6 linked regions of the Canis lupus familiaris genome follow. The main gene of each other region encodes a partner of the protein of the gene in region 6 in a complex. Links are inferred from orthologs where the notes say so. Each region holds a gene or a part of one and is shown on either strand. Other genes may lie near its edges.

Region 1 (4,263 bases), on a different chromosome or scaffold from region 6:
CAGAAAAGATTGAAAGCTGCTGAAGCAGACAGCAAACTAAAACAAGTCTATATCCCCACCTAGTAAGTGTGGTAGGTGGGGGAGGTTTGCATGTTTTCTTTTTCTCCCTCCATCTCCCCCAACTCATGCTTTGCTCAGTGACTGGCAGTGGGCAGGAGTCAGGATCAAAGAGTCAAATGTTGATAGAGATGAGATGGAAATGGATTCTCTACCTTGACCAGTTCCTGGTTTCTCCCCACACTGTTCCCATTAGTACTAAGCCAAATCCTAACCAGATCATCTCTGTGGGCTCGAAACCTGGCATGAATGGGGCTGGATTCCAGAAGGGCCTGACCTGTGAGAGCTGCCACAGTGAGTTCCATGGGAGGATTGGGATGTTGTGGGTGGGGGGGGGGGGGGGGGAGGTGAGGTCCTCTCTGGCCCAAGGACCTGAGGGACTCTCGTGTAGTATTTTTCCCACACTGCCCCCTTCTCTCCATGCTCCTACAGCCACACAGTCTGCCCAGTGGTATGCCTGGGGCCCACCCAACATGCAGTGCCGCCTCTGTGCTTCTTGTTGGATCTACTGGAAGAAATATGGGGGACTGAAGACCCCGACCCAGCTTGAGGGGGCTGCTCGGGGCACAACAGTAAGGAGTGGTGGGGAACAGGCAGGGCAGAGCAGTAAACATATCGATGTGAGCTTTAGGGGAAGGCCAGAGCACCCAACCCCTTCCATGGTGATGGTTTGATGTGGGTATGGGTGGGGAGGGGGTGCCCCGTGATGGTTGGAGACTGGTAGGTTGGGATGGTGATAAAGAGTTCAGGCAGGAGGGATGCCTGGGTGACTCAGTGGTTGAGCGTCTGCCTTTGGCTCAGGGTGTGATCCCGGGATCGAGTACCACATCAGGCTCCTTACAGGGAGGCTGCTTCTTCCTCTGCCTGTGTCTCTGCCTCTCTCTCTGTATGTCTCTCATGAATAAATAAAATCTTATGCTAAATAAGATTTCAGGCAGGAATAAATTGCTTTTTGCAGAGAACAGAAAAAAGGGAGCCTCAGTGACCATCTGTGTTCTCCCTTTTTCCCATGTCTCTTTCAGGAGCCACACTCGAGGGGTCATCTGTCTAGACCTGAAGCCCAAAGTCTCTCCCCCTATACGACCAGCGCCAACCGGGCCAAGCTGCTGGCTAAGAACAGGCAAACATTCCTGCTCCAGACCACAAAGCTGACCCGACTGGCCAGACGCATGTGCAGGGACCTGTTACAGCCGAGGAGGGCCGCCCGACGACCCTATGCCCCTATCAATGCCAATGCCATCAAGGCAGAGTGTAAGGGCAGGAGTGGTGGGGTTAGTGGCAGGTCAGGATACTCTGGCTGGAAAGCAGAGCAGAGACCAGTGTTTCTCTGGATGTTTAATGACAGGGATACCAGGCCACAGCGCTTGGGTGGGAGAATAGATGTGGCTCCTGGCCATAGGAGAGGCCTGAATAGCGAAGCCCTTTCGAGTTTTCCTCTTTGTTCTTCAGGCTCCATTCGACTTCCTAAGGCTGCAAAGACTCCATTGAAGATTCACCCTCTGGTGCGGCTACCACTGGCAACCATCGTCAAAGATCTGGGTAGGTTAGGGTATGAGGAACCCGTTAGGTGGTTTCAGGCTCACGTGGTTTCAGGCTCACAGTCATCTTTTTACCATCAAAATCCAAAGAGATTTAGTTTAATAGTTTAACAGCTGGTACTTTTGTATGTTAATAATGGTTTTCATAAGCTATCCATAGTGAATGCTAAGATCACACTCACGTGATCCTTGCTTGCCAGATCCCTCCCACCATCACTGCCTTTGGGGATGCCCAGGGAAACTACATTGAGAATAAAAAGCATGAAAGTTCTAAGTTTTCTCTTATTTTTTTTAATCTGGCAGTGGCCCAGGCACCTCTGAAACCAAAAACACCTCGGGGTACCAAGACCCCAATCAACAGAAACCAGCTGACCCAGAACCGGGGTCTGGGGGGTATTATGGTGAAACGGGCCTATGAAACTGTGAGTTAACAGCGGGAGTGGGCAAGGCTGATTGGGTGGGCATTTATGTCTGATAAGGATCCATGAGTCCACTCTCATTGTGTGCCCCCTCCCCCTTTCCAGATGGCAGGAGCGGGGGTCCCCTTTTCTGCCAATGGAAGGCCTCTTGCCTCAGGGATTCGCTCAAGCTCACAGCCAGTTGCCAAGCGTCAGAAACTAAACCCAGCTGATGCCCCCAATCCTGTGGTGTTTGTGGCCACAAAGGATACCAGGTACAGAGCCCACCATGGGAGGGGCTGAGAAGTTGAGAACCCACTTTGGGGGGTAAGGATAATAGTATTGGTGTGGGATGGGGATGTCAGGAAAGAATGGGTCCGAAGGCAGAACTGGATTGTGGAACGTGGGGTTTCACCTTGAGAGCCTTAGCCTTCTTTATTCTATTCTCCTTTTCCTGGCCAGGGCCCTGCGGAAGGCTCTGACCCATCTGGAAATGCGGCGAGCTGCCCGCCGACCCAACTTGCCCCTGAAAGTGAAGCCACCACTGATTGCAGTGCGGCCCCCAGTCCCACTGTCTGCACCCCCACATCCTGCCAGCACCAATGAGCCCATTGTCCTGGAGGATTGAGCATCTGTGGGGGAAGGGAGGTGGCTGAAAGCCAGAGGGTGGGTGCCCAGGGCATCCAACCTCCCTTCCCCTCTAGTAGCAAAGGGAATGAGGAGTGAGGGAGGGAGCAAGTGTTTGTCCTTGGAGGGGTTGGGCGCCCTCTGGTGTTACCACTTGGAGGCCTGTCCCCTTTCCACGTTTTCTCCACTTCTGGTGGTGGAGGGCACACTGCAGGAACTTGACCCACTGTGGGAACCTAACCTGTTTTGGGGGTTAGGACCCACAGTCGTCTTGGACAGTTTTGGGGGGAGGGTTTTTTAATTTTTTAAAAATTTTGCCTCCCTTTGTGAAAACGGGATGGGGAGGGGAAGGGTAAATTGACAGGAGGTGGTGGTAGGGGGAGGGGGGCGTGCACTGCCATGACTGCCATGTCTATCCTTTTTTTTTTTTTTTTCCTAATGGGGGTTTCTCTTCCTGTCCGGTGTCCGGACTTTCCTAATTGGAGTTTGAGGCCCCTAAGCTGGCATCAACCCCAACCCATGTTCTCTATTCCTTCCCTCCCTGTGCCCCCTCCGCCTTTTGTACGCCAATTCTCAGAAATAAAGATCTTTTGTCCATTTTTTTAACCTCGGATTCTGTAATTGGTTCTTATAGTAACAAATAAAAAGCTGTTTTCTTCAGCTTCTCCTGGCTCAGCTGTTCTCTGCCATGGGTGTGTGTGTGGGTGTGTGTGTGGGGGGAGGACAGTGACTTAAATTGGAAAAATAAAGGACAATGGGTGATAAAGGAGATACAGATGGGGCTTGCCTGGGAACAGCTTTAGGAGCTAGGCAGCCTGTTCCGGCTAGCTTTCTCGTGGGACCCAAACTGCTCCCCAGCTCCCTGTGGTGCTGGAACCCAGGCTCCCTCTTGGCACACAGATTGAGAACGGTTGGAATGGATGGACCCTGGATGGTTGGTGGCTTCCACAGGAAGGGAGGTGGGAAGATGCTTTTTCTTCTATTTTCCAACCCTTAACCTCTCTTTTAGGAAATTCTGGGAGTTGCTAGAGATCAGGGCAAGATGTAGCCTACTTGGGGGGCAGGGTGCTGCACTCTTACCACCCAGCCCTGTGGTATGTTTGCAGATTGCTGCTTCAGGGATTCCCAAGACCAGCCTCAGCACCTGCCTTGATATTGAGGGCACGCTCTAGAGCTGTCTCCCGCCTTTTTGGGTTTGGGAAACAGAAGTCTGAGCAGGGTCCAACAGGAGGAGCACCCTTACAGAGTGAACAAGAATTAAGCCTATTATGAGTTCCTTCCACGCACTTCCTTGAAGATAGGGGACAGCCTCAGCAATCAGCACTTCCTTAAGGTCACAGACCTTGAGCTGTCTGCCTCAGGCCCAGTGTGCTTTCCACAGTCTAGAGCTGCGGACTGATAACCACAGCAGGAGCTGCTCAGACCCTTGAGAGTCCTCTCCAGCTCCCTTCTCGGCCCCTGGGGCCTCCCCAGCGACTTCGCTCTCCCCACTCTGAGCTTCCACCTCGACAGCATCAGGAACTGCCCGCTACACCAGTCTGGGGAGAGGGGGAAAGTAGCATTTTCTCCCTCCAAGGTCTTGGCTCAGTTGCCACCAGCGCAGGTTCTGCCGCATGCCTTGAAGTGGGCCGGTGGCTCCGGCT
Region 2 (4,854 bases), on a different chromosome or scaffold from region 6:
GAAAGAAATCCAATTTCCACATTTTGACACAATTCGTCCTTAGTCTTCTGCTGTCTAGATAGTGGGTGTATTGTGGCAAGGATGGCCAATGTCCTTGTTAGCAAATAATTATTTCTGCAAAACTACTGTGTAGCTAAATTCCTGAAAGCTGTATCTATAACATACCGATATCCTATAAATGCAAACTAATCTCCTCAGTCTCAATTTTTTATTCATTTTGATATCACTACAACCATGAAAAGTCATACTAAAGGAAACCAACCATGGGAAACTATTACTAGAAGGTCTATTTCACATCCTTGCTCTAGGGCCTCATTATAACTAATTTACTGTCACTGAAGGAATTTAGAGGTCCCGGAGACATGGAAAGCCTGGAGAGAGTTTCACTCGTAAATAAATGCCAACATTTAAACCATCAAGACAGCTTCAAATTCTAGGACTATTGAAATGGACAATATATACTGCTGGGATGATTTATTATGTTTGTGTTTGTAGTCCGAATGGGAAGATAATTCAATTCCACCTGAGGAGTCATTCTGTGGCCAAACCCCAAGGGAGGTACTTTGGATAAGAGGTGATATTTCTTAGCTTTTCCATTTCAAACAAATTATTATTTCTGTATTGAAGACGTCACCCAGGCAATTCCCTTCATGACTTGTAGCACTCTTGAGCAATTAAAAAAATTTTATAAGGTGAAAGAAGTAGCTGACAAGTGCCAAATCCAAAATGAACCACAGAACACCCAAGAACCCCCAGAGATCACAGTTGCCTCTGACTTAAGGTGAAATCAACACTTCTGCTCAAGAAAATGTAAAGGAGCAGTGAGCATGCATCCCAGCAAGAACATTATCACCCACCAGAGTCAACCTGATAAATACAGACTTCCTCTCCAAACAAGCATCCTCACAGGGAATGTGAACAAAAGGGTCCCTTCTGAGGAGATAGAGAAATATCACTCAGCTAAATGTCTTCACTGTGGCACACAGCAGCCTTCCCTCTTACCCCTTTACCACACATTCAGTTTAATTAGAGGGTAGGTAGACGAACCCATTTGCAACACATCTTGGATTTGGCAGAGGATATGCTTAGAGCAGACAAGGGCAGAGAGGCCCTGGCCTATGAGCTCAGCCCCCAGAATTCCTGGGCTTACATACCATCCAGGCCATTGTGATGACTGTAGTTCCTTTTCCCCAAAATGCTCAGAGATGTGTGATTCGGGGTGGTTAGCATCCGCTTGGTAGTGGGGGTTTGCAGGCTTGGTGTAGATCGAATTACATTAGGTTTCTTCGAAGGATGGATCTCTGGCAGGGGGAGAAAAGGTTTCTCAACTCAGGACATGGTAATAAAAATCTCTGTGTGCACTTACATCGCCTAATAGGCACACATCTTACTTCTTAATGAGGTGAGAGTCCGTTCCTTACGAGCCAGTCTGTTTTCCCAAGGACTTGCATAATGAATCAGCTTCAAGTGCTGTTACCATGGCTTTACTTATCAAAAGTGAGCTTGCTTCTCCCTCTGCTAGCTGGAGCTCTGAGCTTCATGTTGGGAGTACAAGCAACAACAACAAAACAACAAAAACACCACTTCCACTTCAGAAGATCACTTAAGCACAGATATACTAAGGGAATTAGGCAACTAACTCTTCAAAGTTTTAGAAATTTAAAGGTTATCTGGAGAAATGGCCTCAGAGAAAGCTAACTCTATGCTCTATCAAACCAGAAACGCAGCATGCAGCATGTCTAGGGTGTGAGAGATTTCTGGAAAACAGGATTCCTTCTCTGACTCTACAAGGAGAGTACAGGACCAAGGTTAATTACTACTAGTCCAGAATATCTTGATATAGATGAAACATGCCACCAAACTCCAAATTCTAGACTCAAGATGTAGTAGAAGAAAAGCTTTGATGGAGGGTATATCACAAAACTGTGATGTGCATGTGGGATATGTGTGTTTACATGAAGTATGTTGTTGTCAGTCATATAGCCCAGAATTACTTGTACTTTTTTGGATAAAGCAGACGGACAGAAATTACAGTCTGTAGGAATTGGACTTAAGGATCTCAGTCTGTTACTCTTACTGGGCAATGTCTTTTCCAAAATTAAACCTGCTCTCTGATTCTAAACCACTCTCTCTTCTCAGGGAGGGCCAGGCAATCAGCCTTATTTATCGAAATTTAAGAAAGGCTGTTAGGATTGTTAGAATTACTATATCTTGGTCTGGTCAAAATTCTACCCTTATCAAAATTTAGGAATGGATCAAGTGCTAACCAACATATAGTGCTGATTTTTTTTTTTTTTTTTCCAACACGGCACTGAAACTTTGTTAACCCCATTTTTCATTACAGCCTCCACACTATTCATCCAAACCAGACCACCCACCTTTGGACTCACTGAAGCCTTTGTGCATCAAATTCTTTAGGCCTCATAAAGGGAAAAATATTCTTTTTTCCTGTTTTTCTATTTAAATACTACTTATTGTTCAAGGTTGAGATCAAACACTGCTTTCTCCACGTAGGCTGCCCTAAATCTCATCAGAAATAACTATTCCTTCTTCCAAGTGTCCAATGAATATTACCTGTAATTCTTTCATAGGAGCTAATCCTTTGCTTAATTGTCCTTACCTGTGTGCTTTCCCCACTAGAATAAAACTTTTGAGGACAAAGTCTTACTCATCTTGATGTTCCCCCAAATCACTATGTTTACTATGTCTTATACATAGTAAACACTCAGAAATATGTGAGGTAGAGGTGTGGTTCAGCTAGTAAGTAAAGCATAGCTTTGGGCCTCCCAGGTAGGTACAGAGACCAATTTGCCCGCAGGAGGAACACAAAATTACCCACAGAAAGACTGGCTAATATGTAATGTTATATTCTATTTCTTATGATCAGAGACTTGTCCATGCATGGAGGGAAGGGGCTTCTAGGATTAGGCTCTTCAAGGGAATAGATAGCAAAATTCAAGGACTTGGTCACCATGACCTAGGTCCTGCCTATGATGATGAGGTGATATTCTCGGGACTACTGAAACAACTCTTCAGGCTCTGAGAAATAAAACAAGAAATAAAGTGACCAAGTAAAATCAAAGAGGGAGCTATGAGCTTCTGACTTTTGGATGCTCTGATGAGGAGTAGATAATATACCAATTTAAGGCTACACTTTGACTTTTAAGTGTTTCTAGAGTCTGAACGCTTCATAACTGTACATCTTTCTGACAGAGCAATAAGCTTCAATGCAACTTTGAGTACACCTTTCACTCTGAGAAAATGAAAATGCAAGGATATTAGAAGCACTAAAAACATGCTATTATAGTTTCTAGGGATATTAGGAACCATTTTAGAAATAATTATTTTGTAAATTAACTTAAAACTTTGCAAAACAGAACAAAACAAAAAGGGTTATTACCTATTGATTTTTAAAAATACTATTTCTTAATTGTGATATTTCAACACAAATATGGAGCCAACATCTTTGACTAGTTCTAAGTTAAATAACATGGTAAAAATCAGAAAGCAATACAAATGCTTCCCTTTCAAAGTAACTTTAATTGGTACATCAAACCTATAAATATTTTTTTAAAGGTAGGTTAGAGCCAGTTTGATCTCATTAAAAAAAATAAGCCAAGTGGAAGGATCTAAATTGAAACATTAAGAATATTCATCCTCAAAAAAAAAAAAAAAAGAATATTCATCCTCTAATAATTTAGTGATTCTTTCCTCTTTTTGCTTAGTTTCTATTTATATCCACAAATGTTATATTTTTATTTAATGATTTTTTTTGGAAAAAGTAAACATATCCATAACTCTGTATACATGTTGTGTGTATATGTTTTGTAATAACAAATAAAAGCTTTTGGAAAAAAAACCCAAAAGCTTCTGAAACAAAATAAATGGACTATACATGTGAAAGTATCCAATTTCAGCTACTTGAAAGGCTTGGATTTAGTTTAGGTATGACAATTTAGAATAGCCAAATACTTATAAGGTACAGAAATTGTTTTTTGAAATTTTCCTTCTGTAAGAAAATACCCACCTAAATACCCAATGATACATGCCAAAGGTTTCCTAGTGCTTTTGCTTTTCAGTGGACTTCCAGATAGTTCGGCATGTCTGTCTGCATCTGAGGAGAGAAGGAAACATGGAGACAACCAATGAGGCTGATTTCTCTACCTATTCTATACACACTGCAGAAAAAAAGGTGCCAGTGGAAGACAGTGCAAAATATCCACCAGATTCCTGCATAATTTCCTGTAGGGTTGGAGGAAACTGTTTCTAGCTCTGGTTCCAAATTACTGAATGAAGGATGTACCTGGAGAACACTCACTTAAAGCCTCATCTGAGTGCTGCTAACACACGTCTTACACGTATGTGCTTTCTTTCTGTGTGACCCCATTTGAAAAAGTGGAAGTATGCTTCCTTTCTAGGCATGGCATTATTTCCTCAAAGTAGAAAAAATGTCCATGCAGGATGAGGTGAAAACAGACCTAATTTAAGATTAATCTGGCATAGAACACAAAAATGACAAAGCTGACAAAGGCAACACACTTGGCCACCCCTGACCTAGAGGAAGTAAGTCTCCACTGAGAAGTCTTAATCTATCTTGATTAAACTCAATTCCATTAAATGAGAGCCTCACAGGGCTAAAAATGGGTCATTGGTTTTATTGCTAGTTTTCCATCTTTCACACCCTACTATGATGTCAGCAGTGCTGAGTTTTAAGAGGTTGCCTGTACAGACAGGGTGCCTCATCTGTTAGAACAGGAAGATACTGTGGGAATGGTTATTAGTGTTCATTTATCAAGCTCACCTCATACCCTACTATATGAGACACTTTGGACAGAGAAAAATAAAGCATACAAC
Region 3 (5,460 bases), on a different chromosome or scaffold from region 6:
TGGTCTGCCTGGGCGTCCAGCCCCTCACACCACTGTGCTGGGGGCTCCCCCGGGTACCCCAGGAGGCTCACAGGTGGGGCCTGCGCCCACCCAAGGAGGACGCCTGATGACCTGATGAACCCATGAGAACGGCGCGTGTCCCCAGGCTGGACGGCCGTGTGGCAGGCAGCTGGGGGCCCAGGGGCAGCCCCCACGGAGGCCAGAACCTCAGCCCGGGTGCAGGCAGGTCCCACCCAGAGGACGGGGGCTCTGAGCGGCCCGGGCCCCGGAGCACACGCCCCCACCTGCTCCAGGCCAGTCCCCAGGGCGGCGCCGCTGGCCGCTGACCAGGAACAACATCCCGGGGCTCGAGCTAAGCCGCCGCGAGTCCCTCCGGCCCCACACTTCCCAGACTCAGGTTCGAACTACAAACAGGGACTTTGCTTCTGAAAACACTACACCCAGCGTCAGGAAACCTTCGGAGCCACAGAGGCCTCGCCCCTGCCCCCCGCCCCCAGGGAAAGGCCAAGACTCACTGGCGTGCTTGTCGGCCAGGGCGATGAGGGTGCTGGAGATGTCGCGCCTCCGGTAGAAGCACACCACCTTGGCCTCCACGTTGCCGTTGGCCGTCTGCAAGAGCAAGGCAGGGTCTGAGCAACGCACGCCCCCGACCGGCCGGCGGCTGCCAGCAGGGGCGGCCCAGAGGGGCCTCGAGTGACCCCAGGGCCGGCAGGTCGCGGGAGAAGCCAAGCCCAGGGAGCGCTGACGCCGAGTGGGCCGGGGCACGTCTGACCGGGGAGGGGCGCTCGGCGGACCTGAGCCCTCCAGCGGTGCACCCTCCTCCTGGCCCGCCAGCCAGGTCCCCCTGTTGACCTGCGTCCCTCCCCCAGGCCTTGCTCGCTCAGGACCAGAACCTGGTGGACGTCCGGACGCTGGAAAGGCCACAGCCCCTGGGCCCCACCTTCCAGCACCCCTGGGGTGGATCAAGGCCTCTGTCGCACCGCTGGGCAGACCTCAGCGCCAGGGGCCTGGTTCCCCATCAGAACTGGAAGCAGCCACGGGGGCACCTGGTCAGGCGGCCGCCTCTCAATTTCAGCCCAGGTCGTGACCTCAGGGTCACGGGGCCGCGCCCCACGGGCTCCCTGCTCAGCGGGGGTCTGCGCGGGGCTCCCCGCTGGCGCCCTCCTTGGAACCACAGGGGCTGGAGCAAGCAGTCGGTGCCCCTGCCCCGCCGGCCCCCGGGGAGGCCGCCAGCGCCCAGACGCCTTCCAGGACCTCCGAAGAGCTCAGCAGACACGAGAGAGGTGGGGGGGCGGGGAGCGCCGGGTGACCAGCCGGGAGCTCAGGGGCCGCAGCCAGCTGCCGCCCCCGCCCTGCGCCAGAGCTGCGCCCAGACGAGCCCCGACTTCCGGGGACTTGACCCTCGGGGCCGTTTCTCCTGTGCCCAAGGGGCCCTGGGGGCCTGGGGGCTCCGGGCAGGGTGGCCCCAGCAGGGAAGGGCCCACAAAACGAGCTCCCAGCGGCCCCAGCCGGGACTGCCCCGGGTCCCCGGGCAGCAGGGGAGGCGGGCTGCGGGGGCCAGAGGGTCCCTCCCGCCCCACCCCAGTACTGAAGGGGGCTGCAGGCTCACACGCAGACGCCCATCGACCCCACCCCGAGCGCTCCAATGGCGGGCTGTGGCCACTGCCGTGCAGACCCGTCACCTGCAGGCTGCCACAGGTGGTGCCACCTGCCCTCTCCACGTCACAGCCAAAGCGAGGGGCAGGGGCTGTGCTGGCCCCACCCGAGACCCACTGCCCGCGGCCAGCCCAGCAGTGGGCCCCCGGCTCCCCCGCCACGCTCCCCACCGCTCACTGGAGTCGCGGGCCCGACCCCATGTGTTCCCGAGCCGATGCCCACCCCGTGCCCTGCTGGCCCTGCTGCCCGGGCGGGCCGTGGGCAGCTTCCCCCAGCAAGCACCCGCGGGAGGTGGCCCCACAGCGTCCTGGTCACTGCCCTCGCCCTGCCGCGTCCAGACCTGGCCCAGCCTCCCAGGAGCTGCCAGGCTGCAAGGACCAGCCCCACACGCTGTGTGCAGCGGAGGCCTGGGGGCACCCCCTCCCCCGGGCAGATGCTGCGCAGGAGTCTCGGGAACGGGGGCACAGGGGTCGGGGCTCGGCTGCCACCAGTCTGCTCCGTGGAGCACCAGCACCCCGACCTCCGCCCCCAGCCCGCCGGTCCCAAGGATGCCCAGCCACGCTGCCGTGCTCGGGGTCCAGGAGAGCAGCCCTTGAGGACTGGCCTCACGGAGCACAGCCAGTCGGGGACAACAGGTGCTCCGGGGCCAGGGACTCCACGGCCGCAGGGACACTCCTGCCTCTCCCCAGTGCTGCCGGGGGCGCCTCAGAGCGGGAGGCTGGCGGGAGGGGGGGCGGCTGCGAGGGCCCAGAGCGGGGCGGCAGGGGCCTGAGTGAGCCGGGAAGAGGCAGAGGCAGCAGGTGGGCGGGGAGACCCCGGCCAGGGGGACCCCACAGGGCGCCCCTGTCCCACAGAGCACACCCGCCACAGGGACCCCACGGAGAGCTCTCCAAGGAGAAGGACCCAGGTGTAGGCGTGTGGCACGGGAACAAAGCCACCGAAGGGTCTGGGGCCGGCCCTGAAGCCCCGGGCGGCCCCCCCCCACCACGCGCCCCCCCCCATGCACGTACCTTGTTGAGCTCCTCGATCCTGCGAATCAGGTACGGGTTGCTGGAGGAGTTCTCAAAATAGACGTAGTCTGCAAACAGGAACAGAGTGCGTCACCCCGCAGCACTGAGCCCGGGGACCAGGGGAGCCCCGACCCCCCTCACACCCGCGCCCAGTTCTAGGGGCCAGGGAACAGGAGGGAACGAAGGACACGGTGCCCCTGCCACCTTAGTGCACAGACAGGTACCCAGACATGTTGGTGGGTGCCGGGCACGGGTCCTAGAGGACGGAGGGGGCTGTCCCGGGCAGAGGGTCCACACGCCCCGCCCCCTGCCCCGCGCAGACGCTGTGGGAGCCGGACTGCAGCTTCCCCCAGGACAGCTTCCGAGGGGCTGCCGGGCGCCTGCACCTGCCCCCCCACCCCACGCGCCCCGGGCAGGGAACGGAGGAGGCCGGGGCTCCCTGGGCAGAGGCAGGGCTCTCGGGGGTGCGGACGGGGTCAGGTGCCAGAGGAACGAGGTCCCGCCACCGCCCGCCAGGTCCCCAGCACACCATGTGGGCACCAGCTCGCCTCCGGCTCCAGAGCAGCCTGGGATCGGTCCCCAGGAGGCTGGCAGGCACCCGGGATTTCCCAAGAGGCCCACGGGGGCGGCTGGCCGGCTCCCACGGAGCCCAGGCCAGCCGGGAGGCCACCCAGCTGCCAGCCTGGCCGCCGCCGTGATATAGCAGGTAGCTCGGGGCAGCTGCGGGTGACTCGGTGCCAGGACGAGGCCAGGCTGCAGTCCCCAGCAGGGGTGCCCCGCGCTGTCCCCCGTGCCCCAGGGAAGGCCTGCAAGAGGCCCGTGTCAGCCGGGACACAGCCAAAGGGCCACTCGGAGCACAGATCTTGCCCCAGGACCCAGGCCAGCTCCGTCCTCTCAAGAGGTCCTACCGCTCCACCGTGTGGAGAGGCCCCAGCAAGCATCTGGCACCTGCTGCTGCTGTGTACCTGCTGCAGGCACCTGAGGGGGCTCACCTGTGCTTGGGGGGGGGCGCTCACCTGTGCTGCAGAGGAGAGCTCACCTATGCTGCAGGGAGATGGGGGCGCTCACCTATGCTGCTGCGGGAGGCTCACCCGTGCTGCAGGAGAGGCTCACTATGCTGGGGGGTCCTCACCTATACTGTAGGAGGGAGCGCACCTGTGCTGCTGGGGGGGGCTCACCTGTGCTGCCCGAGGCCACAGCCGGATGGGACGCGGCCATGGGCACCCACAGAGCTCCACGGAACGAAAGAGCAACAGCACTAACAGCCCAGAGGGAACAGGGCTGCCGGGCTCAGAGGGCCACGCTCGCGGGCTGGGGGGGAAGAGAGCTCTACGGGAGGGGGCCATCGACGGGCTCGAGGTCGGCTTGACGGCAGTGGAAACACTCTGAACACAGACCGCGGCCACACCGTACGCCTCGTGAGCGGGTGAATTTTATCACACGTGAATTGTCGCTCAAAAGAGCAGTTTTAATATAAAGCCCTATTGGTCTTAAAGCTTTCATCCAAAGAAACCAAAAAACCAATTAAATCAAAGCTGTCGGGGATCCCTGGGTGGCTCAGCGGTTTAGCGCTGCCTTTGGCCCCGGGCGTGGTCCTGGAGCCCCGGGATCGAGTCCTGCATCGGGCTCCCTGCGTGGAGCCTGCTTCTCCCTCTGTGTCTGTCCCTCTCTGTGTCTCTCATGAATAAATAAGTAAAAAATCTATTTTAAAAAAAAATAAGTAAATAAACCAAAGCTGTTATTCACATGCAGTCTACACTGGACACGACCCAGGAGGAGCCCCACCGGCCCTGCATGCGGCTCTGAGGATCCCTGCTCAGGCAGGGGGCTGGGGGGCACGGGGCTGCGTCCCAGCCGCCAGTTGCACCCCTGCATGTGCTCCCCACAATTCAGACCTGCACGCCTGAGACGGGTGGGTTAAGCTTTGGTAGATGGGAAAACACGCAAAGCAAAAAGATGGTAGATGATGAGCAAAAACCAGCATAATGAGGAAAAATGAACTCGTGTAAACAGCCAGTAAGGGGATCAACCTCAGGCCAGGGTGACAAAGGAAAGACCCGGAGGGTGAGTGAGCGAGAGCTGGGTAGGAGGGGGCTCCCGGCGCCGCTGCCTGACGGCTCAGGTGACACGGGGCCCGCGCTGGGCAGACGCAGACCCCCGAGCTCCCTGCAGACAAACAGGCAACCCTGTGCCCTAAAGAAATCAGGCTCGGGCAGCCCGGGGGGCTCAGCGGCTTAGCTCCACCTTCAGCCCAGGGCGTGATCCCGGGGACCTGGAATCGAGTCCCACGTCGGGCTCCCTGCGTGGAGCCTGCTTCTCCCTCTGCCTGGGTCTCTGCCTCTCTCTGTGTCTCTCATGAATAAATTAAATAAAATCTTAAAAAAAAAAAAAATCAGGCTCAGGGGCACCGTGGTGGGCTGAGAGTCTGCCTTTGGCTCAGGTCACGATCCTGGGGCCCCGGGGTCAAGCCCCACGTCGGGGTCCACGCTCAGCCTGGAGCCTGCTTCTGCTTCTCTCTCCCTTTCCCTCTCCCTGTGTTCTCTCTCTCTTTATTTTTATTTCTTTTTAATTTTTTTTTTATTTATTTATGATAGTCACAGAGAGAGAGAGAGGCAGAGACACAGGCAGAGGGAGAAGCAGGCTCCATGCACCGGGAGCCCGACGTGGGACTCGATCCCGGGTCTCCAGGATCGCGCCCTGGGCCAAAGGCAGGCGCCAAACCGCTGCGCCACCCAGGGATCCCTCTCTCTCTCTTTAAAGTAAATAAAATTCAAAAAAAAAAAAAAAAAAAGAA
Region 4 (4,677 bases), on a different chromosome or scaffold from region 6:
CCCAGGCTTCTTCCTGGCATCTGCTCCCCACCTTCTCTTTATGGCATCGACAATTTCCTTTTCTCCTTGTGAGCTCACTGTGTATTTTTCCAAGGTGATAGGTTTTGCCTGACATTTCTGGGTGTTTGTAAGAGGGTTTTGATTTAATGAAGTCCTGCTGTGTTACCAGAACTTTGAGACCTCTAGTTATCATTGTGGTAGGGAGGATATTGAGACTGTGCCTTGAGGAGTTTGGGGGTGGGGTACTGCTGGGGTAGGGGTGAGGGGAAGGGGCAAGCCGACGGTGTCAAGGGGGTCCATGCCCTCTATGCCTGCCTTCCCGGAGGATCCCTCCCTGATGGCACTGGTTGGACTCCTCAGTGAAGTGACAGGTGGGATTCTGTGTGTGGCTGAAATGGAGTTGGAAAGTCAGCAGCCCAGAGTCCGTTTTGTCTGTCTCAGACCTTTCCCTACTCTACAAACACCCTTTGTCTTGCAGAAGAAATGCTTCCTGAGAAGGAGAAAATTCTGGACAAGCTGGAGCTAAGCTTGATTCACAGCAGAGGGGATGGCAATGATTTCAGGCCAGGTTTGGGGCTCTTGTGTGTACTCTGTCCTATGTCCCTTGGTCTCTTGAAGGCACCCTCTCTGGACCTTGCTGGGCCTCCTGCAGCTTCCATGGGTACCACCATCTACCCATTACTCACTTGGCCCAACTGAAGCTGGTGGATGGGAGCCTGAGCCCACCAGCCCCGGGAGTGGGAGTCAGGGTGGGAGGAGATGCCTTCCCCTTTCCTAATCCCTCCCATGGCCCCAGCTATCACCAGAAAGGAGAACTTGTCACAGAGTTTGGCCTGGAGCATTTGGGACTCCCATCAGAGACTTTATGTACCTGTAGGTGCTAGAATGTTCTGGAACACTTGTCACATCAGACCCCCCAGGACAGAACTGCTGTCCTTTAATTTAATATACACTTTCACAGTGCTGTGCCCCGTGTTCCCAGGTCGTCTTGAGTGAGGGAGTGGCACCTGGGCCTGGAATCCCCATCTCTGCTCGGGACAGAAGGAGGGGCTGCTTGCTTGTCTGTTTAAAATCCCTCTTGACAGTGAGCCCATGGAGGATGAGGAGATAGGGTCCCACTTGCCTTTGGGTCCCCAGGCCCCAGTGCTTGGCACAGAGAGGTCCCTGGGTAGCACCTTTCAGATGGGTAAATGAATATGGGTGTGTTCTCCCGTAGATGACACCAGAGTGGAGGAGAAGGAGCCCATTGAAACACAGCAAAATGGTGACAAAGAGGATGATGAGGAGGGGAAGAAGGAGGACAAGAATGGGAAGTTCAAATTCATGTTCAACATTGCAGATGGGGGCTTCACAGGTATTGCGGTGAGGCGGAGGGCAGAGACCTAGTGTGGGTGTTGTCACAGTCTTCCTAACTATGGGAGTCCCAGGAGTCTGGGCAGATGGTTATTTTATACTAAAGTGTGAATGCTTGATAAAAGTGCATTATATAACCTTTCCTGGTAACTGGAACACTGAGCTTCCACGGGTGGGGAGACGGTGGGTGGTGAGAAAGAGACCTTCCTATGCCTGCTTCTGTGAGGGACTGGGGGGCACCTCATTCTGCTCCCCTTGGCTGGCTTCCCAGAGCTACACACACTGTGGCAGAATGAGGAACGTGCTGCTGTGTCCTCGGGGAAAATCTACGACATCTGGCACCGGCGTCATGACTACTGGCTGCTGGCGGGCATCGTGACGTATCCTTGGCCAAGCCAGGCTGGGCAGGACTCTGGCCTGTTCCTCTGTGGACCTCAGGGAGGGACATGGGGTGTGTGGGATAAGGAATCAGTAGCCAGCGCTTCTGATCAGGTGCCGAGGACCCTTTCCTGCTGGTGATGGTGATGATGGTGATAACCATAGCTGCGGCTCATCCCTTTATGCTCAGTGCTCACTCCATCTGCACAGCAGCCTTCCAGGGGGCATCGTTGTTGCCCATCATACAGGGGAGGAAACCATGCTCAGAGAGGCCACGGGACTTACCCAGGGACACACAGCTAATAAGCCATAGCCTACCTGTCTGACCACAACAAATACCCCTAACTCCCACCCGGGACATACTTCACCTCCTTCCTGTGATGACGCCTGGAGGGTGCATCACCATTTGTGGTTGGCTAGCATTCATTCATTCAGTTTTGATTGCTCGTGTCCTATGTGCCAGGCATGGAGGATGCAACCGTGAACATTCCCCAGTCCCTGTCTCCCTGGGGCTCACATCCTGCTGTGGACAGATGGCGAATGCTGTAAGTTAGCCAAGTGTGGCATTCAACAGAACATGATAGGGCAGGCAAGGAGCAGGGGGAGTGCTGGGGGTGACCGTTGCCTTTTCTCATAAGTAGTCAGGGGTCACATTTGAGCAGAGACCTCCCAGAGGCAAGGGGAAAGCCACACAACTGCCTGCGGAAAGCCCCTCAGCAAAGGTGACCTTCATGACAGCCTTGGAACTGGCTGGGAGTGTTCTAGAACAGTGGTCAGCAACCTTTCCTGTAAGGGTCCAGAGCACAAATATTTCAGGCTTTGCAGCGTGATTGCTCTGTCATTGTAGCAAAGGCAGTGATGGACGATAGTGATCCAGTGAGTGTGACCACGTTCCAATAAAGGTTTATTTAAAAAAAATTGGCCGGGGGCCAGTTTGGCCTATGGATCGTAGTTACGATTCCTGTTGTGGAGGTGAAGGTGTTTGGAGCCAGTCTGCCTGGGTTCCAATCCTGACTCTGCCCCTTGCTCACCGTGAGACCTTGGGCGAGATCATTTTATTGAGTTTCCTTGTTCAGTTGATGGCTCCAGGGGAGGATTGTTCCTTGTTCCTCGCCAGCTTCTGGGGCAGCTGTCAATCCTTGGGTCTCTTGGCCGCGAGGTCACGTGGCCATCTTCCCTGGGTGTCTGGGTGTCTGGGTCCAGATTTCTGGTTTTTTTTTAAGATTTTATTTATTTATTTGAATTAGCATGAGTGGGGGGTAGGGGCAGAGGAAGAGGGAGAAGCAGACTCCCCGCTGAGCAGGGAGCCTGACGTGGGGCTCCATCCCAGGACCCTGAGATCATGACCTGAGTGGAAGGCAGATGCTTCACTGACGGAGCCTGCCAGGTGCCCTAGATTTCCTCTTATAAGGAGACCAGTCACTGGATTCGTGCCCATCCTAATCCAGCGTGACCCCTTCTTAACTGGATTGCAGCTACCAAGACTGTTTCCGAACGAAGTCCCAGCCCCAGGTGTGGGTGTTGGGACTTGTTAGGATGAAAGGGTTCAGTCCCCAAAGCTCTGTTGCTCTTGGGGCTCCTGAGGGCCCCTGCTGGTGTTTGTTGATTGTCAGGTTGTCATTGTCAACCTGCTCACCTCTTGGCCAAGGTTGATGACCGACTGTCCAAAAGCACACAGCCTGGGCTGCTGCAGCTGGGATGCTGGCACCGGCTGGCATCGGCCTGGTCCCCACTCGCTCTTCCCTTCCCCCATTCCCTGCCCTCCACGGCTGGGTTTGCCCTTAACGGAGCCACACCCAGGCATGGCTATGCCCGCTGGCAGGACATCCAGAATGACCCAAGATATATGATCCTCAACGAGCCCTTCAAGTCCGAGATCCACAAGGGCAATTACTTGGAGATGAAGAACAAGTTTCTGGCCCGTAGGTTCAAGGTCAGTCCCAGCAGGGCCAGAGCCTGCGGGGCAGGGGTGGGGGGCTGTTGCTGCAGGAGGACAGGCTGCATGAAGGGGGCCTGGGGCAAGGCAGGACTGACTGAGCAGCAGCCCGGCAGCCCCCTCCTCATTTCCGTGGTCCTGGGCCAGGCTGTCCACCAGGGTTGTCCTGTAGTCTGCCAACAGTGTGCTAGGTCCTTGATCTGGGTCAGGCCCCACTGGGTGCGTGTCCCTGCCCCGGGGAGGATGGTGCAGAGAACCCAGATTGCGGAGAGTTCCGGGGCTGGGAGCTCTAAGAACAGCAAGGGTGGACTGATGAGCAGAAGAGCAGCTTCCCTCCTTCCCTTTCACCCATTCCCAGGCCCAAAGGGGTGGGTGCTGGTGGACGGGGGGTCGGGCTGGCACTCAGTCCCTCCTGCCACATCCCCCAGCTACTGGAGCAGGCGCTGGTCATCGAGGAGCAGCTCCGGAGGGCTGCCTACCTTAATATGACCCAGGACCCCAACCACCCAGCCATGGCCCTCAACGCCCGCCTGGCCGAGGTGGAGTGCCTTGCTGAGAGCCACCAGCATCTGTCCAAGGAGTCCCTTGCTGGGAACAAGCCAGCTAACGCTGTCCTGCACAAGGGTGAGTGAGCCTACTTCCTGACGGTGGGCCTACCTGCCTTCCTCCTGCCCTGTGGATCCTTGGCCTTGATGAGGGCACTATGGAGCAGGGGCCAGCCCCATGAGCCAGTCAGGGAGAGTTCAGCCCCTCCAGTCTCTGGACTCTGTCTCAAGGCCCTGGGCTGGGGGTAGGTAACACAGAAGTCTATTTGACTTACACTCTTGCTTATGAGGCCCTGACAATATGCTTTAAACATGTTATCTCTTTAATGCTTGTGATATCCTAAAGTGGTAAGGTTTATGGCCCCATTTTATTTTATTTTTAAAGATTTTATTTACTAGAGCACTAGAGACAGCAAGCACGAGTGGGGGGCAGAGGCAGAGGGAGAAGCAGACTCCCCGCTGAGC
Region 5 (5,285 bases), on a different chromosome or scaffold from region 6:
TTCTATCTTGTCTCATTGTTTGATGAAGGGAGGCACCTGTGGTTCTTGCATTCCCTGTGGTGCCCACCTTGGTGCCTTACTAGGTATGCTGGCAACATCTGTTAAATGAACATGATATATTATATATATATATCCTCATGTCACATCATGGTGGGATGTCCATCCATGGGAGTGGCCCAGGTGTGTTGCACCATCTGACCTGGAGAGGTAGGATGAGGTGGGAGAAGGACTGCTGAAATGTTGAGAAGTAGGCTAAAGACTCCTTTCTAAAGATTGGAGTTTATTATGACTAGGGGAAGCTGTGGGGTGAATTAAACTTTATGTAAATGGTTCATCTGGTCAGCCTGGTATTTGGCTGGTCTTACTCAATATTTAAGAGCTGGAGCTGGAGGTAAGCATCTGGAGAATAACTGGATTTGGGTGGGATTGGGTGGGGCCCTAGGTTGACTGGCAGTTCCTGAGAGTCTAGAAATGGTCTGAGGGAAGGTAGGGCTTGCCCTAGACATCAAGAGGTTTTATGCCAGGATACTGCTTTGGCCCAGAAAGGGATAAAGGTATGTACAAGTTGGGGTGGGCACAGGGCAGTGCGGGTAGCAGCCTGCTTCACAACCTTGTGGCTCTGGGTGTTAGAATAGACCTGATGGCCTGAGGAGGTGGGGGAGGTATGAATGTGAATATTATGGGATGCCTGGCTGGAAAGGTATAGGGGTGGTGGCTGGCGATGAAGCATTATGGGATGTGCTGGGAGTATTAGAGTATGTCTGGTGGACCTCGGGCTCCTTGACATTATTATGGGATATCAAGGTGTGGGTGGGAGAGTAAAATTATGGGATATCTTTCCAGCGTTAGAGGAAAGGAGATTGGATGTCCATCTGTAGGGTGACAGTGGGGCTGCCGATCATTAGAGGATATCTCTTTGACAGAGAAGAGGTTACTATGGGCTGTGGAGTTAGAACGCATGTATGAAGGCTGAGGGTGGTGGTGTGAGGATCTAGACCCTAGTCTGCAGGGGCTGAGGGCAGCTCAGGCTAGGGGGTTGGTTATTATGGGATGTCAGTGTAAAAGTGGGAAACTGATTATTACGGGATGTGTGTGGGAGGAGGCCGAAGTGTCCGTTGTAGTACTGGGGGGGGGGGGGCGTTGTTTCTGACTATTATGGGATATCAAACTGGGGGTGGATGAAGAGTGGTTATTATGGGATGTCTGTGGGGGATGGGGAATGAGTATTATGGGCTGTGAGGCTTAAGTGCTGGGAGGGGTGCTTATTATGGGATGGCCATGGGGAAGGAGAGGTGACGAATTATTATGGGATGTTAGCATTAGGGCCAAGAGTGAAGAAGTTGGCAAAGGATGGCTATTATGGGATGTCTGAGGTGGGGAAAGGGTTAGTTGCAAAGGTCTGCAATATTATGATATGTCAACAACCTTAGCATATAGGTGTATGGAGTGTATGTGTGTGTGGGGTGGTGGTGGTGGGGTGTCCGTGTGTATTATGGGATGGCCGGAGGTGGGTGGTTGCCCGGGTGACACGCGCGCGCGCGCTCGAAGGGGGCGTGGCCAATGGTTGCCGGAGCGACGAGGGGGCGGGGGTTGCCCGGGAGACCTAAGGAGGAGGGTGGCGGTAGTGGAGGGGGGGTTGGAGTTGGTTGAGGTTATTATGGGCTGTCCGTGGGGGGGCGGGGCCTGTGCGGTGGGATTTCCCGGCCGGTGTTTCGGGCCCTTTAAGAGGCGACGCCGGAGCCGGAGCCATTTTCCCCCCTTCGGCCGCGGCGAGGAGGAGCCGGAGCGGGAGTGACACCGGGCCGGACCCAGCGCGACCTGCGGCGGCTCCGGGGTGAGGAGAGCGCGGGGTTCCTAAAGAGACGCCCCTCTGAGCCTGACCAGCCCCCAAGCTCATCCCTCCATCCACCCCTTCCTCAGATGTCCCGGACTCGCGGACCGCCCCCTGCCCAGAGGAGCCGACCCTTCCTTTTCCTTGCCTGCAGGGCGCCCTGCCCCCCCCGCCCCCGCCCTGAGCCGGCCCGAGTCCTGCCCCCCGCGGCTCCCACCTCGGGCTGGGTCTCCCACAATGCCCGGCGCCCGCCCCCTCGCCCTTTGCTCACTTGCCCCCCGGGACACGTGGCCCGGCCCCCTGCCCGGTGGGCGCTCCCTCGCCCCCCGCGTCCCAGCCTCCAGCCCCCTGGAGCGCCCGAGCCTCCACGCCCCCTCGGCCCCGTGGCTCCTCCGGAGAACCTGAGTTGTCCCAGAGGACAGCCTTTGGAGAGCTGCCCTGTCTGGGGACTGGCCCCTCCCCAGGCGCAGGGAGGCGCCCCCCCACCCCCAAGTGACCTTGTGTCCCCGAGCGCCTCGCTGCCTGCCGCCTCCCCCGACCCCCCCGCGCCGCGGCCACTCGGACCCCCCTCCCCCGACATACCCTGCTCGGTCCAGCCTGGTTTCTCCCCCTCCCCACGCCTGCACCAGCCTGCCCTCGGGGGCGTCGCTCCCGCTCATCTGGGGGGCTCCAGTTGGGGAGCCGGCTTCCGGGCTGCCCTCGAGGAGTGTGGAACTAAGTTCAGCCTGAGTGGTTCGGGTGCCCTGCTAGGGTGGCTGGGGTTGGGGGGGCCGCTTTGGTGGTGGGCGGAAAGAGCGGGTGGGTGTGGGGGAGGGGGACAGTGCGCGTCACTGACTGTTCTCTCTTTCTTCCCCCCCTCCCCCGCACAGTGACTCGGGCCAGTGTAGAGGGCCCCAGGCCGCAGGCAGGAGCAGCTGGGCCAATTCCCTGGCCGGGAGCGGAAGGGGATGGCGTCGGGCCTGGGCTCCCCGTCCCCCTGCTCCGCGGGCAGCGAGGAGGAAGATATGGATGCACTTTTGAACAACAGCCTGCCCCCACCCCACCCAGGTAAATCTTCCCCAAGGGCCCTGGGCAGGAAGGAGGCATTTGGGCCCTCCCTAGCGACTCTGGTGAGGCAAGGTTGAGTTTCTCTCTCTCCGTGCAGAGTCTGAGGTGGAGGGCATCCGAAGGGAGTGGTTCCCTTCTGCGGAGCTCTTGTGGGAGGGGGTGGAAGCCATGTGCCTCCTGGGCTCTGGGACCGAGATGCAAGCTTGCTGCACTGTCTGTTTTAAGGAATGCTATGCAGTTCCCAGTTGAGGGAGCCCTCTGGTCTGGAGACCTTACCTTGTGTGGGTCCACGGAGGAATGCAGGTGGCTGGGACCCGTTGGAGGCGGGGTGGGGGTTCGGGTGGGTGTCGAGGATTGCATGTTGAAGACCAGCCCGGCATCTGTGTTAGCAGGATCCTGTGGTTGCTGCTGTGGAAAGGAGAGAGGGAGTGCTGGTTACTCTCTATCTGATTATTTTTAGCTTCTGATCAGTTACCGGTTTTCTGTGATGTCTCAACTGTGAAGTTTGAATTGCGCTCCTCAGCTGGGATGTAGAGAGCTTTTAGCAGGCAGATTGCTGGAATGTTTCAAATGGGGAAATGATGGGGGCTTGGGGTAGGATGTCACACCCTGAAGGATATACTAGGGAGGGGCAAAAGAAGGGAGGTGACACCCTGGGCAACCCCCCCCCCCCTTCCCATAGCAAATGGACATGATACAGACTTTTTTCCTAGAGGCTTCTGCTTTGGTGCAGGGAGCCTAGGGTTTGGGCTGGTGTCATGAAGTGTTTGTGTAGGTGTGTTGGGGGTTGTTCTGTGTTTGTGGGTGGCTCCTGGGACTGGCCAAACCCGTATGGTTGTAATCATCCTGCCTGATTGGAGAAGCTCTTGTCTCTTCTCAAATGGTGATTGATGTCATGCATCTGAGTGGATGTCTCTCTCTTGTCTGTCTTTCCTTTTTCACAGCCCGTAGCTAAGTCACCTACTTGTTTCCTTGACCTTTTTTTCAAGCTTCTTTTTTTTTTTTTAAATGTCATTTCTTTATCCTTCTGCTTATCTTTATTTTCGCTTTAATTCTGGAGCCTGCTGGTCGTGTTTTTGTTTCCCATCAAACATCTTTCACTTCTGCCTTCTCTCTCCTTAGCTGTAGCAGTAAGTTGAGGTCTGGGAAAGATGTTCCTACATTTTGGTGTTTTCTAAGTTGGAAGTCTTCAAGTCTTAGTTTGAAACTGAGGCCACTTAGTAAAGGGGTCAGTCTTGTTGCTGAGTCTTCAGCTGTTGGGATGAGAAACTTAGGCTCGAGTCTCATCACTGTGTAGACCAAGGTGGCAAATTTCTGTACTGTTGCCCAAGGTGGGGGTGGGGTAGCAGCATTGGTAACATGATCTGACTCTCTCTGTGAGGGGCGAGAGAAGTAGTAGTGCTGTCCAGCCAATGTTGGTTCCACATTTTGGCTTCCCATTGGCCCCTTGGGCTGGGGCTGCCCCTGTGTTGATTGGGAGCAGTGCAGGCTCCCAGGGTGAACTCTGCCCCAAGCTGTAGCATGACCCAGTTTTTCCACTTGCCACACCCCATTCCTGCCCCTTTCCCAAATCTTCTTTTATGTCTCAGCCACTTTGAATGTTGTCTCTGTGCATTATCTGCTTGAGAAGTTTGGGGGTCTTATGTGGATGGGTGTTCCCTTCACCTGCACGGGTTTGTCCTGGTGTCCAGCTTTCACGGAGGTGAGGAAGATGAGGAACTGAGAGATGTGACTTATTAGTGAGGGGGATGACATGGGGGATTGCTTTGAAAAAGCCTTAAGAAAATGGTTCTTTCTGGTGAGATCCAAGCTGGTGTTCCATTCCCAAGGGAATGGGAGGGGCTTTCATATGCCTGGCCTGATCCTGGGCTGAGTGGGGGGAGGCTGATGGTGCTTTGTCAAGCTTAATGTCTCATATTCCCTAGTATCTGCCTTGCTCAGGAAGGGCGGAGCCAGAAGCATTTTAGGGCTAGTTCTGGGAGTCAGGGGCGAATAGAAGGAAGCATATTGTCCCGCACTGTCCAGGTGCTGCTCTTCTTTTCTTCGTGTGAACATCACATATGCTGGATAGGTGGCTACTTCTAATCTGTGAGAGGTAGTTTAGGGTCTATGGCTTGGACTCTTGGGGAGGTAGGTGGTGAGAAGGGAACTGAGTTGTGGAGACTTCTGGCCTCCCATTCCTCAAGCTAAATTTTTTGGGTATCAAAAATTCAAGAAAGTTGTATGCTGTGACCACAGCTCCACTGAGTTTTTGTTAAATCTTAGTTCTGATGATTGGAAAAATAATTATGATTGAGGCAGTAACCCAGTCTTTCTTGTGGTATTACCCTTCATGTTTGTCTTGGGTTTCCTTGCCTAGGACATTAAAGTGGCTTGTTGAGAACTGTGTCATCCCAAAATAGGTGTT
Region 6 (4,854 bases):
TGGGGGGGCTGCGGGGACCCAGCCTCACTCATTGGGTGCATACTTGGGCCGTGGAGGGGGAGGGCTTATAGAAAAACAGGTTTTTTGGGGTGGGCCCTGCTGGCAGGGGGAGGATGGGTAAGTGGAAACACATTCTGTCCAGATGGTCTTTGGCAATTATTTATAGTTCTCCAGACCCCACGGTATGGCCCACAGCTTGTCCACTGTCATTCCCCTGGGATGGTGCATCCACCTGGATCCTAGGAAGCACCCAGTACTTGCTGAGACAAACCAGTCCTTTTACTCATTTAAGATGATTAAAACCTTCTGGAGGCTGCTAGTGGTTTCCTTGAGTGTAGGAGGACAGTAGAAAGGCCCAGGTTTCTGGTCAGTGGTTATTTCTCAGCGTGTGGCCGGTTCCAGCAGAGGCAGAAGCTCTGGGAACCTAGGCCAGGCTGCCCTGCCTCCAGCCACTGCCTCTCGGTGGGCTTCTCCCTGTGCCCTGCCCTCGCTGTGGCTGGCATGTGGTAGGGTCCTGACCGTGGCCTTAGGATCAGGATAGGGTTCAATCCATTTAAACTTCTTCTGATTTTAGGGAACTGGGAACAGCCAGGTACCCCAAAGCAAATATGCTGAGCTGCTGGCCATCATTGAAGAGTTGGGGAAAGAGATTAGACCCACCTATGCAGGGAGCAAGAGCGCCATGGAGAGACTAAAACGAGGTAAGTAGCGGGATCCAGACACCCCCTGCTGGGTGCTGCCTCCCTGCTGGGTGCTAACTGTTGTGAGAGGTTTCCAGAGGGGGGCGTGAATGCTCTATGCCCCGTGGGGCTCCTGTTTGGTTAATCTGTGGAAGCATCAGCAGGGGCAGGAATGGGCCGGTCATGGGGTGTAGACTGTCCTTGGGATCTGACGGGAAGGCTTTGCGTGCTCCTTGGGAAGGTCCATGGGCTTTAAGAACAGAATCTTTACAGGCCAGATCCTGTAGCTTTCTCTGTTGCTTGCTCTGCTCCTGTTGGCTGGTACTGGTCCCAGGGAGCCGCAGGAGGACAAATGCACCAGGCTTCCTTCTCTGAGTGGGTCAGGGACAAGAAGTAGCCAGGTCCTGGGTCCTGTGTTGCCCTCTGTTGTCAGCTCTTTGGAGCGGAGCCCAAGAGGCCAATGGGTCTATCTTAGTCTGGGAAGGGAGAGCAGGAACACTGAAATTCCTTCATGATTGAGGATGGAAGGGGGGGTAGGAATATGGTGTCACAGAAAACCAGTGACTCATGTGAAGATGTGACTGACCAGCTGATTCCAGGGGGAGGTGAAATCGGCTGCTACCTCAGGAAGTAAATGGGGTGGAGGGAAGAAGATGATTTCTGTTTTAGAAGGTGGCAATTCGGAGCAGCAGTGGCCTAGGTACGAATTTAATTTCAGAAAGGATCTGGCGTTTATTCAGAAGTTTGGAGAGGCAAGTCTGAAGTTAACCTGGGATGTAAAGAGGGGCTGCTGCGGAGGCTGTGACCCTACCGTGGTAGGCAAGGCTCCTGCCCATAGCAGTGGGCTTTGCTGCTGTTTACCAAGCTTTCATGGACAGATTGGCTGGCTGGCCGGGTGCTTTTACTCCTTTTACTGAGGAAGTAAGGCCTGACCTGGGGGAGGGGAGCTGACAGAGGCTGGACCCCGAGAGGGCTTGATAGAGGTGGGGTTAACCCCGACCCACCCCTGGGGGGCCGGTGGGCGTCACTCTGCATCTGGGCTGCTGTTTGGAGTCAGGGGAAGCAAGACAGTCCTGGCACCTGGAGTCATGGTTACCTGAGTGAGAACCCCTGGAAAGATGCTGGACCTTAGGACACCTGGGTGGCTCAGCAGTTGAGCGTCTGCCTTCGGCTCAGGGCGTGATCCTGGAGTCCCAGGATTGAGTCCCATATTGGACTCCTTGCATGGAGTCTGCTTCTGCTGTTTCTGCCTCTCTCTCTGTGTCTCTCATGAATAAGTAAATAAAATCTTTAAAAAAAATTTTAAAAAAAGGTACTGGACCTTGAAGTCGAACAGGCGATTTGCAGTCACCAAAAAGAACCAGTGGTTCAGGTTAGCCTATGGATATGTCTAATGACCACTCTGGGACATGTGTCCCATGAACAGCTGGTCACCCAGTCACACTAACTAGTAGCCAAGTACAAGTTAGCTAAGTTTATGTCCTAACAAGGTGAAGAAGAGTTGTAAAAGGTATGATGGACTCAGGTGCATTGTTGATAGGTCAGCAAACAGTAACTGGTAGGCCAAGAATGATTTTTAGTTTGTCGTTTTCTTTTTTAAAGATTTTATTTTTTCATGAGAGACACACAGAGAGAGGCAGAGACATAGGGAGAAGGAGAAGCAGGTTCTGCACTGGGAGCCCGATACAGGACTTGATCCCTGGACTCCAGGGTGATCACGCCTTTGGCTGAAGGCAGACGCTCAACCGCTGAGCCCACCAGGCGTCCTTGGTTTTTAGTTGTTAATGGTGGAAAATGATTTTGTGACAGGTGGAAATTATCTGAAATTCAAACTTAAGTGTTCATAAATAAAGGTTTATTGGAATATGGCCACACCCATTGCTTATATAATGGCTGCCTGAGTAGTTGTGACCGAGACCATGTGACCTGCAAAGCCTGAGATTTACTGTTTGGCCCTTTCCAGAAAAAAGTCTTCTGAAGCTCAGAGATAAGATTTGTGAGATGTGGATGCTTGCGTGACTTTGGGGATGTCATTCACAGTGCCCTCCGGCAGTCATCTCTTAGAGGGAATAGATTTTTGATATCTATTATTTATTTATTTTTAAAGATTTTATTTATTTATTCATGAGAGACACAGAGAGAGGCAGAGACACAGGCAGAGAGAGAAGCAGGTTCCATGCAGGGAGCCCGATGTGGGACTCGATCCGGGGACTCCAGGATCATGCCCTGGGCTGAAGGCAGGTGCTCAACCGCTGAGCCACCCAGGCGTCCCTGATGTCTATTAAAATGAGATAAGTATCTCATGGCGTTCACTAAAGGCCATGACAAAAAACAAAAAGAAAAAAACACAGCAAACAAACCCAACAACCAAACCAGAGATAAAATATGGGTAGGGGAGTAATAGAGCAGAAGATGCTCTATGCACCTGGAGGGCAACGTCCTAACGGATACGGTTGAACATAAATGAGCAGTCCTTTTTTTTTTTTTAAGATTTTATTTATTTGACAGGAAGTGAGAGCACAAGCAGGGGGAGCAGCAAAGGGAGAGGGAGAAGCAGGCTCCCAACCCAGCAGGGAGTCCAATGTGGGGCTCAATCCCAGGACCCCAGGGTTATAACCTGAGCTAAAGGCAGACACTTAACTGAGCCATGCAGGCACTCCTAGGTGAGCAGTCTTGCATCCTAACTGTGCAGCCTGGACATTGGACAAGCCCTTTCTAGAACTTAGAATATGAAGAAACCAGAGAAAAATATGATTTGAAGTCATGGACTCTGCAGAGTGGGTCCGGCCTAACGAAAGCGGATGGAGACACATCTTCCGTACTCTGACAGCATGACATGCAGAGAGAGCTTGCTGGTTGTCCCTTTGTGTGCAGGAAGGGATTGTTAGGGAGCCATGAAGAGGAGTTTTGGCTAGGAGGCAAGGGCCTTTCAGGAGGGACGAGATGCTGGTGTGTTTCCAAACCGCTGGAATCCCGGGGTGGTTTGGATGCAGGTCCTGAGTTCTTTCCAGGGCCAGGGTTTTTCAGCTGGGTTGTGAAGGGGGGCCCTCTTCCTCTTCTGGAATGGGTTCTGCTGGATGATTCTCAGCCTCTTCTCTTCCAGGCATCATTCACGCCAGAGGACTGGTTCGAGAGTGCTTGGCTGAGACGGAACGGAATGCCAGGTCCTAGCTGCCTATCAGCGTGGAAGGTTTTCCATCTTCTTCCAAGACCAGAAGTTACAGCTCATCTCCCATGTTCAGATGAAACTCTTGTTTTCAAAATGGTAACAGTTTGGTTTCTCCTTCCCGTGTCCCTCCCATGGTTCATGAGGCTCTGAGATTGAGAAATACTTTGCAGTTGACTAGGATTTACATTTATATAGGAATTACCCAGGGTTTTTTGTTTTTATTTTTATTTTTATTTTTTAAGCATTTTTATTTTTTTGTTTTCTTTTTTTTAAGCATTGAAAGATGCACGTAAAAGATCCCTATCTCACAGCAGATATCCCAGCTCCTTTCATCCTCTTTTTGGAGTACACTTAAGTTACTCAGATTGTTTTACATTATCTTTCATAAGCTAATACAACTCTGAGGGTTTTGTTTTGAGTGCATACGTTTGCCACATGGTGTGGATTCTGCTTAATGTAACTTCTTTTGAGCTTAATGAAGCATTTGCTTGCATGACTATTAGTGCTTTGAGGTCAATTTAAAAAATGCACAAGTTATAAATACAGAAGAAAGAGCAACCTACCAAACCTAACCTAACAAGAACTCCCCCTCCCCCAGCAAAATTTTCCTACTAAGACTGTGTGGATTTCAGTTCTGCTTTTCCTGTACGTTGATCCAAACATCTGGAAGAAAATGACTAAAACTGTTTGCATCTTTGTATGTATTTATTACTTGATGTAATAAAGCTTATTTTCATTAACAATTTGTATAATGTGTGGGTTCCTTAAATCCTTAAGTGGTATTATTTTTCAAGTGGTATTTTACTTATTTTATTTTACTAATTTATTTATTTGAGAGAGAGAGCATGCAAGAGAGAGAGCACAAGCAGGGGCGCACAAGAGGGAGAGGGAGAAACAGACTCCCCTCTGAGCAGAGAGCCTGATGCAGGACTCTGGCCCGGGACCCTGAGATCACAACCTGAGCTGCAGGCAGACACTTAACTGACTGAGCCACCCAGGTGCCCC

Evidence for each region.
Region 1: CDK2AP1 (region 6) and MTA2 share a complex: the UniProt entries of both Homo sapiens proteins name them as parts of the nucleosome remodeling and deacetylase (NuRD) repressor complex. The link is inferred for Canis lupus familiaris from reciprocal best matches to the Homo sapiens genes CDK2AP1 and MTA2.
Region 2: CDK2AP1 (region 6) and MTA3 share a complex: the UniProt entries of both Homo sapiens proteins name them as parts of the nucleosome remodeling and deacetylase (NuRD) repressor complex. The link is inferred for Canis lupus familiaris from reciprocal best matches to the Homo sapiens genes CDK2AP1 and MTA3.
Region 3: CDK2AP1 (region 6) and MTA1 share a complex: the UniProt entries of both Homo sapiens proteins name them as parts of the nucleosome remodeling and deacetylase (NuRD) repressor complex. The link is inferred for Canis lupus familiaris from reciprocal best matches to the Homo sapiens genes CDK2AP1 and MTA1.
Region 4: CDK2AP1 (region 6) and CHD5 share a complex: the UniProt entries of both Homo sapiens proteins name them as parts of the nucleosome remodeling and deacetylase (NuRD) repressor complex. The link is inferred for Canis lupus familiaris from reciprocal best matches to the Homo sapiens genes CDK2AP1 and CHD5.
Region 5: CDK2AP1 (region 6) and CHD4 share a complex: the UniProt entries of both Homo sapiens proteins name them as parts of the nucleosome remodeling and deacetylase (NuRD) repressor complex. The link is inferred for Canis lupus familiaris from reciprocal best matches to the Homo sapiens genes CDK2AP1 and CHD4.

Annotation. Positions count from the first base shown.
Region 1 is NC_049239.1:54,562,191-54,566,453, forward strand, and holds the end of MTA2 (metastasis-associated protein MTA2), read left to right. Parts: exon of another isoform or gene 1-3; coding exon 4-62; exon of another isoform or gene 63-237; intron 238-253; coding exon 254-351; intron 352-489; coding exon 490-629; intron 630-1,079; coding exon 1,080-1,308; intron 1,309-1,506; coding exon 1,507-1,596; intron 1,597-1,898; coding exon 1,899-2,017; intron 2,018-2,119; coding exon 2,120-2,268; intron 2,269-2,455; coding exon 2,456-2,621; 3' UTR 2,622-3,285; downstream 3,286-4,263. UniProt on the Homo sapiens protein: May function as a transcriptional coregulator. Acts as a component of the histone deacetylase NuRD complex which participates in the remodeling of chromatin.
Region 2 is NC_049238.1:34,455,853-34,460,706, reverse strand, and holds part of MTA3 (metastasis-associated protein MTA3), read right to left. Parts: intron 4,115-4,854; coding exon 4,028-4,114; intron 1,302-4,027; coding exon 1,155-1,301; intron 1-1,154. UniProt on the Homo sapiens protein: Acts as a component of the histone deacetylase NuRD complex which participates in the remodeling of chromatin.
Region 3 is NC_049229.1:73,159,536-73,164,995, reverse strand, and holds the start of MTA1 (metastasis-associated protein MTA1), read right to left. Parts: upstream 3,751-5,460; 5' UTR 3,608-3,750; coding exon 3,196-3,607; intron 2,735-3,195; coding exon 2,667-2,734; intron 610-2,666; coding exon 516-609; intron 1-515. UniProt on the Homo sapiens protein: Transcriptional coregulator which can act as both a transcriptional corepressor and coactivator. Acts as a component of the histone deacetylase NuRD complex which participates in the remodeling of chromatin.
Region 4 is NC_049226.1:60,511,362-60,516,038, reverse strand, and holds part of CHD5 (chromodomain-helicase-DNA-binding protein 5), read left to right. Parts: intron 1-478; coding exon 479-568; intron 569-1,216; coding exon 1,217-1,354; intron 1,355-1,624; coding exon 1,625-1,733; intron 1,734-3,531; coding exon 3,532-3,664; intron 3,665-4,095; coding exon 4,096-4,291; intron 4,292-4,677. UniProt on the Homo sapiens protein: ATP-dependent chromatin-remodeling factor that binds DNA through histones and regulates gene transcription. May specifically recognize and bind trimethylated 'Lys-27' (H3K27me3) and non-methylated 'Lys-4' of histone H3.
Region 5 is NC_049248.1:7,680,738-7,686,022, reverse strand, and holds the start of CHD4 (chromodomain-helicase-DNA-binding protein 4), read left to right. Parts: upstream 1-1,676; 5' UTR 1,677-1,834; intron 1,835-2,413; exon of another isoform or gene 2,414-2,584; intron 2,585-2,700; 5' UTR 2,701-2,778; coding exon 2,779-2,878; intron 2,879-3,154; exon of another isoform or gene 3,155-3,286; intron 3,287-3,580; exon of another isoform or gene 3,581-3,664; intron 3,665-5,285. UniProt on the Homo sapiens protein: ATP-dependent chromatin-remodeling factor that binds and distorts nucleosomal DNA. Acts as a component of the histone deacetylase NuRD complex which participates in the remodeling of chromatin.
Region 6 is NC_049247.1:6,517,649-6,522,502, forward strand, and holds the end of CDK2AP1 (cyclin-dependent kinase 2-associated protein 1), read left to right. Parts: intron 1-574; coding exon 575-701; intron 702-3,783; coding exon 3,784-3,851; 3' UTR 3,852-4,596; downstream 4,597-4,854. UniProt on the Homo sapiens protein: Inhibitor of cyclin-dependent kinase CDK2. Also acts as a component of the histone deacetylase NuRD complex which participates in the remodeling of chromatin.